Sus scrofa: one gene and its partner. The protein of the gene in region 1 purifies or fractionates together with the protein of each later gene. This does not show direct contact. Links are inferred from orthologs where the notes say so. Each region holds a gene or a part of one and is shown on either strand. Other genes may lie near its edges.

Region 1 (7,566 bases):
ATCTGCCTCTTTGGTCCTACCATTCCCAGCTCCTCTACAAAGCCTTCCAAAACCATTAAAGCCAATGCTGACCTTTTCCTCAAAATCTATTAGAAAATTTTACCTGGTAAGGTACGCTGTGTAGAACATCCTGCGGTATCTGCTGTTTCCCCAGACTGAACACAACTTGCCCCAACAAGACAAGTGTCCTCAACAGCAAGGTCCACGGCAACCTCTTGACCTACCCCCGCTCAGCGCCAGTGCTCAGGAAACTGGCACTCGGGACACCGTCGGATTAACATGGGATGGACAACAGAGCTCCAGCCTGCCAGAGAGCGAACAGGAACAGATCTGGCTGGCCAGCACTGGCAGGCTTGCTCAAAGCCACGAGCTGACACAGCACCTGCCCTCTGGGGTGAGGGCTGCTCATGGGAGACAGGGGAGCTACACTCTGCAGAGCCAGGTCACAAGACAGCAGGCCTTCGGCTCTCAGGGTAACGGAAAGAGGGAAACCAAGAGACCATTTTCACGGTATAGCTGCAGAAACCAAAGCCGCTTCCAGTGAGGTGAGGTATCCCGACAAACATCACAGTTCAGGTCCCTCAATCCAGACACCTTGACCACATCAAACTGCTTCTCTCGTGATGCCTCTCTCTTCAGCCCAAGCAGACTCATCACAGAGAAAAACTGAGTGACCCAAGTCATTCACTAAAGTTGTCACAGGAAGGAATGAGAAATTCAAACCAACCGAGGAAGGGAAGGGCTTTTCTAGATTCCTTCTCCTCCACCCAGCCCTGGCCGTGAAGCAGCTGAGAAGCAGCGTGAAAAGTCTCACAGACTCAATTCCCAAATCGCAGTCGCCCAGCCAGACGGCTCTGAGCTCTCAATCTGCAGATGCAACACCGCTCCAGCCGAGCTGGCCTGCAGATTCAACACCACCCCTGCGGTGAGGTGGCCTCCTCGGTGCAGGTCGCCTCCCAACCAGAAACCGGGCCACTTCTGTTCCTTCCTCCTCTCACCTCAGACACCAAGCTTACCTGTTCTCCTTCCAAAATTAGTAGTTCCTGTTGCCCAACCCAAGTCATCCTCCATACCAAGGACCTCCAAAGCTTTTTAATCCCTCATTTTTATTATTTAAAAAAATCGAGCATACATATGCCATAAAACATGTATTTATAAATTAAAATACATGTACTTCTACAGCAATATAGAATATTATAAATCATAAAAATTTACCCTAAAATGATGAGATTAAAATATGTTTTAATATATATGTATTATAAACAGTCTATTTTCTTCCCACACTCCAGTGAGTTATTTCATACAGCCCGAGGGTCCAGGAAGCAGCACTCTGGAGACTGCATAATGAGACTAGGCCTATAATTACGTGTGTGTTTATATACGTATGTACTAGGTATATTCAAAGCAGTTTTTCACACATTACATGATGACATGATATACACATGCTTCAGCACCATGCTAGATACAGTTAACCTTGTCTTCTAAAGCCACAAACCAAAAATACAGCTTTAAGGCAGTTGACTTTTATTTTATATATAAAACTTAACTCTGTGTAAGATAATTAGTCTTAAAAAAAGATGAGAAATTCACAAAGTATAGCTTGGCTCCTTTTGCATACATCTTCTGAAAAAGATATACTACATTTTTTCACTCATCTATTGAAATATTCTAAGGCTGGGGTTTATAGGGATTGCACTTCCTTTAGCCTAGATACATACTCTTAATGTATGCAGTTTTCTACAGCTATAGATGCTGCTATCATTTCAGGTTCTAAAGACTAATATACTCTTCCCTACTCTCACGCCTGTCGGCGCATCCTCCCTACCCCAATACCCCCACCTGTGCAACAATATAAAAGGACAAAAACCCCACAACACATCACAGTCAGAGTAGACCTGCTAATACAACAAGACATTTACCTACGTGCACAATATGATCTTCTAGGAATCTACTCACAACCAGACAGATCCTACCTCTCCATCCAGAGTGGGGCAATCAGTCCCTATGAATCCTCTCAGATAACTAATTCAATTTCTTACACATTCAGAAATGTCCATTCTCAGAACTCAAAAGTTCTGAAACTTTTACCAGAGAGATGTGTCCTCTCATCATTCCAGCAGAGAACAAACCAGTGTCCTTGTGAAATAATTAAAAACATATATTTCCTTCAGATAGAATATTACCCCTTGATGATAGAAGCCACAATTTGGCAAGAAACCAAACAATAAAGCTACTAAGTGGCCATCATTCCATGAAAACTAGCACCACCTTAAACTGATTTTCACTATTTACAGCCCCAGAGTCCCTCCAGGAGTTAGGAATTCATCCACCCCATTAAAGAAATACATGTGATGCTAATTTGGGGCAGCTTTTAATTATACCGACCAGAAAACTGAGGAAAAAGCCACCTGAATCCAGTGATTTTCAGTATTGCTGATTCGATTCTTTTCACATGCAGGATGTTGACGGGATTATAAAACAATCTTAATATAGAGTATTTTTTAACATTCTTCTAAAAGGAATCAACATTACAAAAGCTTAAATGTTTAGGTCTGTGACCTCAACACAGATGACTTGATTTGGAGTTTGTTTTCTATTTACAGAAGTAAAGTATTAACCACATCCCCTATCTTTTAAACTAGCATTCTAACATCTTCCATTTTATACTGAATTTTAGGGTGAGTAAAATGTCTTGTCTCCTCAGACATCTATAACCAGAACACTGATTTGTTTCACGTGTTTTCTATTTATTAATCCTCTTCACTCATTTATTATTAAACAAGGGACTAAAATTATTTTCAAATATGAACATTACAGTAGGACTCTTAAATAAGCCCTGACCCTCCCTATGGCCTTGATATTCACAGACTTAGAATAGGTAACTTGCAACTAAAATCCCTTAATCATTTCTCAAGTGGTCTATTTATGCAACCTGTTGGAAAGGCTGCATGCAGTTGAAGAAAGATGCCTCATCAAAACATTTAGCATTGGTTATTTTTGTACCACCAAAACAATAAAAAATAACATTCCAGTAACTCTACTCCCCTAAATATTTATGTGGAACGCAGACTCCAAAACGCCTTACTAATGATGCTATCAACTACAGGCATACTTTAAAAAAAAAAAAAAACAAGAAGGAACGAAAAGGAGTTGATATTTATTGAGCATCTACTCTAAGCTAAGTGTTTTCCATTTTCCATTAGCTTTTCACTACACGGTACTTATGCAAGGTTACTTGTGGTTCAAACAACGTCTGCTAGACCCCATGGGTTCTCCTCACTACAGCTGGATGATCACCCAGGCTCCTGGTGTGTCGGTTTCAATTGGAAAACAGGGATAAAAACAGCATATACCTGGTCGGCTCAGATCCAGGGTTAAACGAGAAAATACAGGTGAAGTGTGTAGAGCTAAGCATGGCCCTCACTTATGCCGTTATTATAACAATTACGTTTTCTTATTAGTGTCGGTATTGCTCCCATTTTACAGCAGAGGAAATGGAACCTTAAAGAGTCTAATTTACTAGGGACCAAACCAACCAGCGCTAGATTTTGATCCAAAACACACATCCGATAAAACAAGAATTACTTGGGCATTAAATACTGGCATTCTTAAAAATACGACTTGTTATGAAGCCTAAGCAACCGCACGAATCAGGCAGCGGCTGGGGTTAGCCCTTCGCACCGCCGCCCACAACCAGCCTCGGGGGGAAAGGGGCCCACAGGACGCCCGACCCCGCGCCCCTTCTCCGAGCAACGCCGGAGAGCTGGAGCCGAGGCGGAGCTGTCCCCGCGCGGAGGCCCGGCACCCGCGCGACCCGCCGCGTAAGGCGGCGGGGCCGAGGCCGCTCCCAGGACGCCGGCCCGCGAAGGCCTGTCGGCGCCCAGCCGGCGGGGTGGCGCCCACAGCGGGTGTCCGAGCGGCGGATCCTGGCCCCGGGCCTCCGCAAGCGCGGCCTCCCGCGGACAGCGTCCTGGGCCGGCCCGCACCCTCCACCTCCCCCGGCCGGACAGTCGGAGAGCGAAGCCGGGAGCGGGCGCGGCCCGACTTCCTCCCCCGCCCGACGGCTGGAATCCGCCCCCAGGCCGCGGCCCCCACGCGCGCCCCGGGGCCCCGGGCCGGCAGCGCACCCAGCCCGCCGCCCGCCCGCGCCCACCTTCTCCCGCGGCGCCCGGCCCGCGCGGTCGGCTCCACCAGCGCTCCGCGACTCCCGCTCGGCCTGTCCGAGGGCTGGCGTGGCCTCCCCGGCTGCGGCGCGGGCGCGGCGGCGGCAGCTCCTCCTCCTTCGCGGGCGGGAGGAGGAGACTCGGCGACGCGGGGCCGCCTCCTGGCAGGAAACGACCCCCGCGGCACCGCCTCCTCCGCGCGGCAATCCAGCTCCTCAGGCCGCCGCCGCCGCCCTCTCCCTCCGGAAGCGCATTCCTGCCGGGCGGCGTCAGCCGCGCCCGCGCGGCGGGGGTGGGGGAGGGACGCGGGGTGGGAGGTGGAGGAGGGGCGGGGAGGGCGGCCGCTGGGACAAAGGAGCGGGCCTGCCGGGCGCCGGTGGTGGGGGTCTCTGCCGCAGCGTTCGCCGTGCCTCAGTTTCCTTAGCTGCCCAGGGAGGAAGGGTCTGCGCCGCCCAGCGCGCCTTAATCTCCTCCCGTGAGAAGTTCTGGAGCCTTCTTCCTGCCTTGTCTTAGGTGCTGCTTTCCTAAGGCCGCACGTCTGTCCTGCCCGGGACTGCCTGGTTTTGAACCTTGGAAGCCTTGCCTCCAGGGAGCCGCCGGAGACTCCCGCAAATCAAGACACTTAATCACGCACCTTGCAGGGCTTCCTGGGGCCCAAGACGTTTTCCTTTTGGAAGGGAAGGAGCTAAAGCCAGTATTTTTCTGGCGTGAGGATTTGCCTGACTTACGTCTTTGAGAAAGGGGGAGACTTAGGGAGGAGATGGGGACCCAGAAAGAGAAAAGTTTTAGAGAAAAAGTAAATTGGAGAGCAGCTTTTGTTAGGTTAATCTGGACGTCCGTTTATGGGGAACGCGGATGAGAAGGAAGTTTCCTCCTTGATACGGTTTCCGTTTATCCTCAGTTTTTTTAGTAGGTGGGCTGGGGGGCTGCAGAAGAAGGGACGTTTAAAACACGAGAAGAGAAACATTTCATTATGAGCAAGGCTGGGCACTTCTTAATCAGAGGAATGAAACCTGTGCCAACCGGCATCATACTGAAACCCAGTCACTTTGACTATGCTGCTGGCAGGCTGCCATCCTGTTAGCAGAAAATGTGCTTCGCCACGTGGTGAGCTGGAGCACCCTGTTGGGAATAGAACTCGAATTATGAGATTTGTGAAATGGAGAAGTAGTGTTTCATTTGGGGGAGATTAGAAGCCGCGATGCCCATTTAGCTGCCAACCTTAAAAGAAGCTCACACAATCCCATCTATGGAAACTTTGTTCATTGCTTACCAGCAAAATCAAATCTGTTGGTTAGGTAATCTCTGGGAACCTCTAAAGAAATGGGAATGATTTTTCCCGTTTAATAGATGACCAAAGTTAACGGACTAAATCATGTTTCCCTATTTGTGTAATCTGAAAGAGGATACAAATGGACTTGGTTTCAAAACAAACCAGACTCAGAAAATAATCCTATAGTTAAGGGTGGGGGAAGGGATAAATTAGGAGTTGGGGATTAATATGTACATACTACTATATACAAAACAGATGAACAACAATTTTCCTACTTATAGCACAGGGAGCTATATTCAATAACTTGTAGTAACCTACCTATAACGGAAAAGAATCCAAGAAAGAACATATATTTAACATGTAACATAACTGAATCACTTCATTGTGCCCCTGAGAACTAACACAACATCGTAAATCAACTATACTTCAATTTAAAAAATCAATGTTTCTATATCAATAACCCAATGATGCAGCTACCACCAGAATTCAACATTCTTTTTTTTTTTTTTTTCCTTCCCATTTATTTATTTATTTATTTATTTTGTCTTTTTGCCATTTCTTGGGCCACTCCCACGGCATATGGAGGTTCCCAGGCTAGGGGTCGAATTGGAGCTGTAGCCACTGGCCTACGCCAGAGCCACAGCAACGCGGGATCCGAGCCGCATCTGCGACCTGCACCACAGCTCACGGCAACGCCGGATCATTAACCCACTGAGAGAGGCCAGGGATCGAACCCGCAACCTCATGGTTCCTAGTCGGATTCGTTAACCACTGTGCCACGATGGGAACTCCAGAATTCAACATTCTTGAATTTAAAGGTACCAGTTATACCACTGTTTAAAATTAATCAGAACTGGACTAGTCTCAGCACAGGTTGTAGTTCAAAGGTAAAGTAATTTATCCATGCCTGATTTGCACTATATGTCCCAGAATTTTCCTCCCTGTGTGATTTTCCACAAGAATACTATGAGGTTCACATCTGCAAAACACTAAACTAATTGAATTAGCTCAAGGGCAGTTTAATCAACTTTTTAATCCCAGTATCAAACACTGTTGCAGATCACATAATAGGGGCCCAGTATTTGATAAATGAATAAATGGGTCTTTTTGCTCCCCTGAAATCACACTAGAACTTTTGGCTAAAGTGTGAGGAGCAATTTATGTACAGAAGTCATGAGCTTTGAGGAAATGAGAAATTAGAAGAAATACTCTCTAAGAAATATGTGATTGGTCACGGGTATGACTCCATTTGTGATTTCATATAAATATTAATCAGTAGGCAGTTAGCTAACTATAAAATTTATGAACATTGCAGACAAAGGTTGGTCAGTCTTACCATGTTCAACAGAAATCCTGGTAAGTAGAACTAGTGTAAGTCACGCTGCTAAACCATGTCATTATAGCACATCTATTAGATCTTGATTTAAGATAAATCATATTTTACCTATACTCTCTCCCTGTTATTATAAATTGTCCTCTGCCATGTCATTATGTCAAATAATTAAAAGTTGACTTTCCTTTAGTTTTGGCATCTTAGTACTACTTGCTGTTCAAAGTATATCTTTATTCACCTACTGTTCTCCAAAATAGTTTCAAAGCTGCTCACCAGCAGACTTTATTGGAGGCCCAAGTTCATTTCAGTGTTTGACCCCCATTTCTATTTAAAATTAAAGGCTAGGCTTATGTAAATGAAAGGAACCACAAATATTTAATCGAGTACAAAAGAGGCTAAAGGCCTCTCTAGAAACCTGATTATCTCTTTTGGACAATGGAATCACTGTTTGATGACTAACCTTTAGATCTAGCAGATTGTATTTAATCACGTGATTATGGAATACAGTTTTGAGAGTGGGAGTGAGCTGATGTTAGCTTAGGAGTGGATGGCTGTCTTTCTCTCGTAGTTTGAACACTTTGGGGACTAAGCCTGTCAAGGATTACCCTGTCCAGTAAGCAACAAATCATGCCAGGATAACTTGAAGCCGACTCAATCTTTTTTTTTTTTTTTTTTTTTTTTTTTTTTTGTCTTTTTGCTATTTCTTGGGCCACTCCCGTGGCATATGGAGGTTCCCAGGCTAGGGGTCGAATCGGAGCTGTAGCCACCAGCCCACACCAGAGCCACAGCAAGAGGGG
Region 2 (7,697 bases), on another chromosome or scaffold:
CACCCACTGGGGGGCGCAAGAGGACTGTCTCGCGTCTGTGATCTTTGAAGCTGCAACTGGAGGGATGACCACCAGAGGGCACTGTTGGATGTTTATTTTCTACGTGGAGTAAGATGCAAATTCAGCATTTGAAGTGGGAATGGGTCAGGGCCAAGATGGATGGTTTCCATGGGGCTAAAAAAGGCGATGCTTTCTTAAATTCTTCCATTACCTAATGTACATCAAGAAGGATAGACGCTGTCCACACAGGTTTAAAAGCAACTTGTCACCACCCTGAGAAGAGCCAGATGCCCTCGAGGGTGGGTGAGGCAGGGAGCTGCTGGGCTCAGAGGTGTGCAGAGGCCCAGGGAGATGTCCACAGGTGGGCGTGGGCTGGCCTCTCCCAGGTAGGACCTTTGTGGGGAATCCCTTTGACTTAGGAGATAGCTTCAAGAATCCTTTAGCACTGAGCCTGGCAGCACTAGACTAGGAGACAGGGAGGGCAGCGGACTTTAGCCCCCTCGGGATCCCCACTTGCACTGGCAGCCCCACCAACACTTTCAGCAAAGTCCTCCTTTCCCAACACCCCCAAGAGGGGCCTGACTTTCCCAAAGGTGCTAACAGAACAAGGTCCCAAAGGACAGGAACACAGATCAGGAGAGGGAAGGAATAAGGTATCACTCTTGAAGACAAACAGACACGCTCTCTCTTTTCGGTCTGAAAAAATAATCCGTTTAATTGAAAAACCTGGAGTATACTAGCCCACTCTCCTGGATGAGGGGGCTGAAGAGACCAGACCCCCTACATCACCTCGTAGCCACTTCGGATGCTCTTCACAAGGCAGCAAGCAAAGACAATACCCAGGACCTAGAAGGAAAGTTAGAGGTGGGGGTGAAGAGGAGCCAGAGAGGCGAGGGACCCCAGACCCAGCCCAGAGACCCCAGACACAACCAGACCAGTACCTCCAGCTCTGCATCCTCCCACTGCCCCATGTTCCCAGATACCCACGGGCACCTCTCACCTCCACAAAGGCAATGCCCAGGGCTGCTGCAGCTGCCACCAGCACATTGCTCCTCAGCCAGCTCCCAATCTTTTCCACACAGCCCTGAAGAAGGGGCAAGCACACAAGACAAGAACCCTATCAGAAACTTCCCTAACAAGGAGATGCTGCTGAATAGCATTGAGAACTATGTCTAGATACTCATGTTGCAACAGAAGAAAGAGTGGGGGAAAAACTGTAATTGCAATGTATACATGTAAGGATAACCTGACCCCCTTGCTGTACAGTGGGAAAATAAAAAAAATAAATAAATAAATAAATAAAGAGCTAGCACAAAAGACAGTAGGTAAAAGATTAAAAAAAAAAAGAAAAAGAAACTTCCCTAGACCGGCTATCTCTTCCCCACCCTCTGTACCTTTCACCCCACCCCTGGCACTGCCAGGTTCCCTCCCCATCCCTGACCCTCAATCCCCAAGGGCCCCGACCCTCTCCACCTCCAGCCCTGGTCCCTCTGGCCCCCCTCAAACATATGCCAGGTTCCCCACGTCCACTACTATCTCAGCCTCCTCCCTACCTCATTATGAATCTCCTTCACGTTGAAATTAACTCCACAGTGCTGAGTGACATTGACACAGCAGGAGTCCGGGACTCGCTTGGGTGACAGCAGGATCTTCTCCCAGTCTGTGTAGTTAGCTGCCCCGCAGCACTTAAACTAGGGGAGAGGAAAGACACAGGGAAAAGGCTGCTAAGTGAGCCCCCATCTTCACCATGGAGATGAGCACCTTCTTACCCCATTCCTCCTGCTCCCAGCAACCCCACTCACATCTTCCTGCATCCTGTCCAGGATCAATGCTGTGTGGTTGTTTTTTGGATAATTCTGCATCTGCTGCTGGAAGTCCTTATTAAATTCTGCCTTCACCTGGGAGTAGAGAGGAGCTGTGTTGAAGCCAGAATTCGGGGCACCTGGGTCCCAGAGTAGCCGGGCCTCTGAGACGAGGCCCTCCCCTTAGTCCCTGCTTACCTTGTCTCTAAACACATAGCCAGCAATGGCGGCTGCCACCTCCACCAGCATGATAAGGGACAGGAAGATGGCAAACTGCGGGCGCAAAGGACGAGAGTCAGGTTTGGCGTCTGGGCAAGGGGGGCCTGCCATTCTCAGGAACATTCACAGAAGTTTCCTTCACCCACCCACCCTCCCAAGCCCTCTCCAGAGGAACGCCCTTCCAGGAGGGCCAGGCCCCGTGCTGGCCCACCGCCACTCACTGTGACCATAAGACAGTAGTTCTCCTTGCAGGTCCCACAGCAGCCCACAAAGGCCACCAGGAAGAGGAAGGCACCCACTGCGATGATGACCACAGGCAACAGGGAGCCAGGGGTGGCCCCCTGGGTAATGGTCTGATTTAGCACGAGCTGGACCCAGATCCCCACGGCGATCAGTCCCACGGCACAGGCCTGCGGGGAGGACAGAGCAGGACTGAGAGGCCGCACAACCCATCAGCCCTCCAAGGTGGAGGGCGCGATGGACCCGGGACACAGACCAGAACCCCACTCCAGAGACGGATTCTCACACCTCCAGGGGACCTAACTGTGGGGGAGAAGGGTGAGCCATCCTTGCCAGGGAGGGCTGGGAAACTGTTCAAGGCTCTCAGAGAAGGCAGTCAGAAGGAACCACACCTTCCACAACCCGCTCCTCACCAAGGCAAAAAGAGAAGTTCCCAGAAAGCCTTGACCCCAGGGCACAAATTCCCAACAAAGAGAAGTGCTTCCTGTGAGCCTCTTCCTATGGGCCTCCAGGGCTCCCAGAACTGCCCTCTCACTGTCCTCCAGTGCCCACCACATCCTCACCAGCTGTGACTAGGGTTCCTGGGGCCCACTAGGGTTCCTCAGGACTCGGGTTCCTCAGGCCCACTAGGCCAGGGAGGAGAAGGGAGGAGGAAGCGGGGTAAGGGTGACCTGCCCCTCCCTGGACAAACAATCCTCTCTCAAGCCGGGGGCCCAGGGCAGGAGCCATCTAGGTGGACAGAGCCCTCTCCAACCCCCAAGCAGGAAGGAGGGGGTATGAGGGAATGGAGAGGAAGGGGGGGTGGAGGGTGCGGAGGGGCACCCCGTGGTGATAGCATCAAGCCGTTGGCGGGTTGCCCCACTGCCCCATATCACAAGAGGTTGGGTCACCAGACAGGAAAGGCAAGGAGGGATTACGGGGAGGGTGCTAGGCACCCAGGCCGGCCATTCTCGATCCCAAACAGTCTCAAAGATCCCTGCTTTGAGCTGGAGGAGGCGATGGCCGCGCTGCCCTCGGCCGTTAGCCGGGAGTTCCTTCCACATCTGCTCTCCAGCTGCCTTCCTTCTTGACCCCTCAGCCGTCAGCACTCCCGAGCCAGTTCTCCCCGCACCCTGCCAGCGCGCCCCCATCGTCCCCGCTCCCCACTCACGCAAAAGGCCAGCAGAAGAACGTAGAGCAAGAACTTGACACATCTCATTCCTCCTTCCACCGCCATGGCTGCCTGGCCTGGGGCACAGGGGAGGGCAGGGGGATTAGAACCGGTCGAAGGGGTATCCGGGCTTCGGAGCGCCCTGCCGGCCCTCGAGACCTCCCCTGCGCGGCCCCCATTCCCGGCCCCTCCCACCCGGAAACCCGCGGTCAGATCCACGTCTCCCAGCCCCCTCTTCTCCCTGCAGGAGAGGGGTGGGGGCGCCCGTCGCCCAGCCCGGACCCCGCCCCGCCGCGTCCCTGGCCCCGGACTGATCCAAGGGCGCCCGCTGGGGCCAGGGCTGGACGCCCACCCTGGGCCCGCCAGCCCCCAGGTGTTAAACACCCCCTCCCCACCCAACCAGCCCCCCAAAATTGTCCTCAGCTCTAGCCCGATCCCCAGGCCACTTTCCCCTGGGCTCTGACCACCGCCAAAAATAAGTGCGTCCCGCGCTCCGCATCCCACCCCTCCCGGGCCTCCGGAACTTTCCAAAGTTGCAAAGTTGCGAGGGCCTCGGGAGCAGCGGGGGAGCGAAGCCGATCTTCAGAGGCCCGGAGCGAGGCCCTGAGCGGGGAGCGGCTGGCGATTCCCCCCAACACCCCGACGCCAGAGCCGGAGCGGGCTCCGCGGCCTCACCTGGGCTCCCCGAGGCTGTGCGCTGCACTCCCGCCGCGGCTCAGGGGCTCTCTAGCTGCGCCCCCCGGCTCCGGCCCCGCCCGGCGCGCGGCCCCGCCCCGGCTCCATCCGCAGCCCCCTCCCCCGCCGAGTAGCCGCCAGCCTCCCTCATGTGACGCGAGAACAGCTGCGGCCTGAGTCACCCGGCCTGCAGGAGGAAGGCCGAGACCCCGGCCGGGTCAAGGCCACGTGGCCCCTGCCTGGAAGACGGCGCCCACCCCCCGCAAAGGGAGGGCACCAAGGGCAAGACCCCGGGGTGCCTGGGTTCTCCTGGCTTCCCCAGCCCCGTGCCAACTCGGGGTAGGAGAGGGGGACCAGGCGCCGCCTGCTTTTCTTTGGCTCAGGCAAACGGGGGAGACGTGTGAGAGCTAAAGGAGGGATGAGCGGCCCAGAGGAACCCTCTGTGCACCCAGCCCGGGCGGCGGAGCTGAGGCGAGGGGACAAGATGGTCTTCAAGAGGCCTCCTCATCCTCCACCCAGAGCCCACTCCCTTCCTCTCGCTCCAACTCTGTTCCAGCCCCTCACCCCTTCCCCGAGTCAGTAGAGGGCGCTGTTGGGTCCCTGGGATAGGGTGGGTCGCGAATAAACACTTTTAGAAAGTCCCTGGCTTCACATCCTGGGGGTCCCCCACCATTCTAGAAGGGGTGTTCCTTCTCTCCGCTCCCATTGTTAGTCCATTCTCCATTTTGTAGGATTCCGGAGGAGTGAGCGGAGAAATAGAGGAAGCCTTTCCCAGGACATCCCACCCCGTCAGTCATGATGCGTCATGAATGAGGTCCCTCCCTCCACTCCCGGATCAGCCTGTTACCCGGGAGGCGTGCCGAGGACACTTAGGCGAGCACAGCACGTATTCCCTGCATTTTCCTCGCCCGTCCTGGACAGCCCAGGGGCAAAGCCTGGAGAGGACTGGAAGGTGAGGGGGGGGTGGGCTCCAGAAGAAACTGTGTGAACGGGGCAAGGACGGAACCAGCCACCACACCGCTGCCCGCCCAGCCTGAACCCACCCCTTGCGTTTTTCTGGTCCTGCCTGAAGAACCATTTCCTGAGCTGTGGTGTGTGTACACAAAGAAGGAAGGAAACTTTAAGAGCAAAAGGAAGGCGCACTGGGCTGGGCTGGGCTGAGAACCAGTTTCCAGGATCACTATCTTCAAGCGAAACACACCAAGCCCCTTCTGGACATTGCTCCCCAGTTATCACCTGCAGGCAGGCTGGGGAGGAGGAGCCAAGACTCCGAAGAAAGGAGTATTCCTCTGTTTCTGCCAGGCATGTGCTGGGCACAGGGCCAGCGAGGTGAGGAAGTTGATGGCCCTGTCCTCTGCCAGCAGGCAGAACCAAGCCCACACTGTGAATAGACGCAGAAACCCCTGGTGGCAGCTGGACTAGCTCAGAGGGAGGGGCAGGAGGTGCCGATGCCCCAGAGGGAAAAAGAAAAAGATTTCACAGAGGTGGGTGGTGCTCTCCCAGGGGAGCTTGGCGAATAAAAGGGCAAGCATCAGTTCCAGTGCCAAGGAAAGGGCCAGGTGTAAAAGAGGAGTCGTTTTGTTTATTTATTTATTTATTTTTAATTTTTGTCTTTTCAGGCATACGGAAGGTCCCAGGCTAGGGGTTGAGTCAGAGACAACCACAGCAACGCCAGATCCGAGCGGTGTCTGCAACCTACACCACAGCTCACGGCAAGGCCAGATCCTTCACCCACTGAGCCGAGCGAGGACTGGGATTGAACCGCATCCTCATAACTAGTTGGGTTCATTACTGCTGGACCACAATGGGAACTTCCAAAAAAGGAGTAGTTTTAAAAGTCCATGGCAGGGAGTTCCCACTGTGGCTCAGTGGGTTAACAAACCCAACTAGTAACCATGAGAATGTGGGTTTGATCCCTGGCATTGCTCGGTGGGTTAAGGAGCCGGCGTGGCCTTGAGTTGTGCGAATGTAGCCCTAAAAAGCAAAAACACAAACTCTTTTTTAATTTAAAAATAAAGTCCATGGCAGATTGGGATTGGCCAGCTGCCTCACAGGGCTGGGGAAGGATGTGGTGACAGATGGACGGGAGGGAAGCTGGTCTGAAGTCAAATTGAGAAACTTTAGGAGTTAGCATCGTCGTGGCACAGCGGAAATGAATCTGACTAGGAAACATAATGTTGAAGTTTCAATCCCTGGCCTCGCTCAGTGGGTTAAGGATCTGACGTTGCAGTGAGCTGTGGTGTAGGTTGCTTACGAGGCTCAGATCTGCTGTGGCTGTGGCGTAGGCCGGTGACCCCTAGCCCGGGAACCTCCGTATGCAATGGGTGCGGCCCTAAAAACCAAAAAAAAAAAAAGATTGAGAAACATTAAATACCTACTCACCAAGTATAATGCTTGCTCTTTGATTACATCTTTGCCTGAACAACCATGAAAGACATTTTGGGAACAGCTGGGCAAATTTAAATATTGACTGAGAATTAGACCTGAGAAAATAATTTTCTTAGGTATGATGACAGTATGATTATATAGGAAAATTCCTCTTTTTTTTTTTTGTCTATTTGCCTTTTCTAGGGCCGCTCCTGCGGCATATGGAGGTTCCCAGGCTAGGGTCTAATCAGAGCTGTAGCCGCTGGCCTACGCCAGAGCCACAGCAACGCAGGATCCGAGTCACATTTGCAACCTACACCACAGCTCACGGCAACACTAGATCCTCAACCTGCTGAGCAAGGCCAGAGATCGAACCCGCAAACTCATGGTTCCTAGTCGGACTCACCAACCACTGAGCCACGATGGGAACTCCTCCACTATTTTTTTTAATATGCATATGAAAATACTTAAGGATGGAATGTCATATTTGTAATTTACTTTGCAATACTTCACAAAACAGTAGATGAAGCACAAAGAAGACAGTCTGGGTGACAGGACTATTGAGAACTTAGGTGGCTGGGTTGGGTGTGTTCTAGGACAAAGGGGACCCGTGGAAATTAATTGACAAGGTGAACTGCCTTAGCATGGGGCCTACCTTGGACGAGGAGGAATGAATGCCTGGAGGGAAGCTGGGACATCACTGCCATGCCCCAGGGGAGAGCTAATTAAGACCAGAGCCACGGAAAGGAGGGGAAATCCTTGGAAAGGACTTTCAGAGGGAAAAAGCAAAGGACAGAGTGACTGGTGTTCCCTTATGGCACAGCAGGTTAAGGATCTGTCTTTGCCACTGCTGTGGTGTGGGTTCGATCCCTGGCCCAGGAACATCCACATGCCACTGGAATGACAAAAAAATAAAGGGGGGATGGCAGTGGGGCGAGGAAATGGAAAGAGTCTGAGATGACTCAGAGTTTCCAAACCTGGGTGCCCAGGGGAAAGATGGAGATGTCCCACCTGGAATTGGAGATGTGAAACTCAGGAGAGAGGAGTAGTCAAATTAGAGATAAAAAGTGATTTCTGATCCACAGGCGAGTGTTGCTGAAATGTCGGCTGCCTCTACACCGATGCCCAATAGAAACATGGAGACACAGAGTTGGAGGAAACAGAAAAGGTAGCTTTAGGAGTTCCCGTCGTGGCTCAGGGGTTAACGAATCTGACTAGCATCCATGAGGACACAGGTTCAATCC

What was found. Proteins that work in one complex are often made in the same cells at the same time.
Region 2: the proteins of ITGB1 (region 1) and CD63 purify together in Homo sapiens (affinity purification with western blotting; 3 studies listed by BioGRID and IntAct, with this or other methods). This does not show direct contact. The link is inferred for Sus scrofa from reciprocal best matches to the Homo sapiens genes ITGB1 and CD63.

Annotation. Positions count from the first base shown.
Region 1 is NC_010452.4:56,126,216-56,133,781, forward strand, and holds the start of ITGB1 (integrin beta-1), read right to left. Parts: upstream 4,297-7,566; 5' UTR 4,154-4,296; intron 1-4,153.
Region 2 is NC_010447.5:21,171,587-21,179,283, forward strand, and holds CD63 (CD63 antigen), read right to left. Parts: upstream 4,640-7,697; 5' UTR 4,264-4,639; coding exon of another isoform or gene 3,853-4,263; intron 3,785-3,852; coding exon of another isoform or gene 3,478-3,784; coding exon 3,412-3,477; intron 2,432-3,411; coding exon 2,243-2,431; intron 2,076-2,242; coding exon 2,001-2,075; intron 1,899-2,000; coding exon 1,803-1,898; intron 1,692-1,802; coding exon 1,554-1,691; intron 1,085-1,553; coding exon 1,001-1,084; intron 847-1,000; coding exon 781-846; 3' UTR 689-780; downstream 1-688. Other genes in the region: basic proline-rich protein-like, read left to right, coding at 3,476-3,784, 3,853-4,263. UniProt on the Homo sapiens protein: Functions as a cell surface receptor for TIMP1 and plays a role in the activation of cellular signaling cascades. Plays a role in the activation of ITGB1 and integrin signaling, leading to the activation of AKT, FAK/PTK2 and MAP kinases.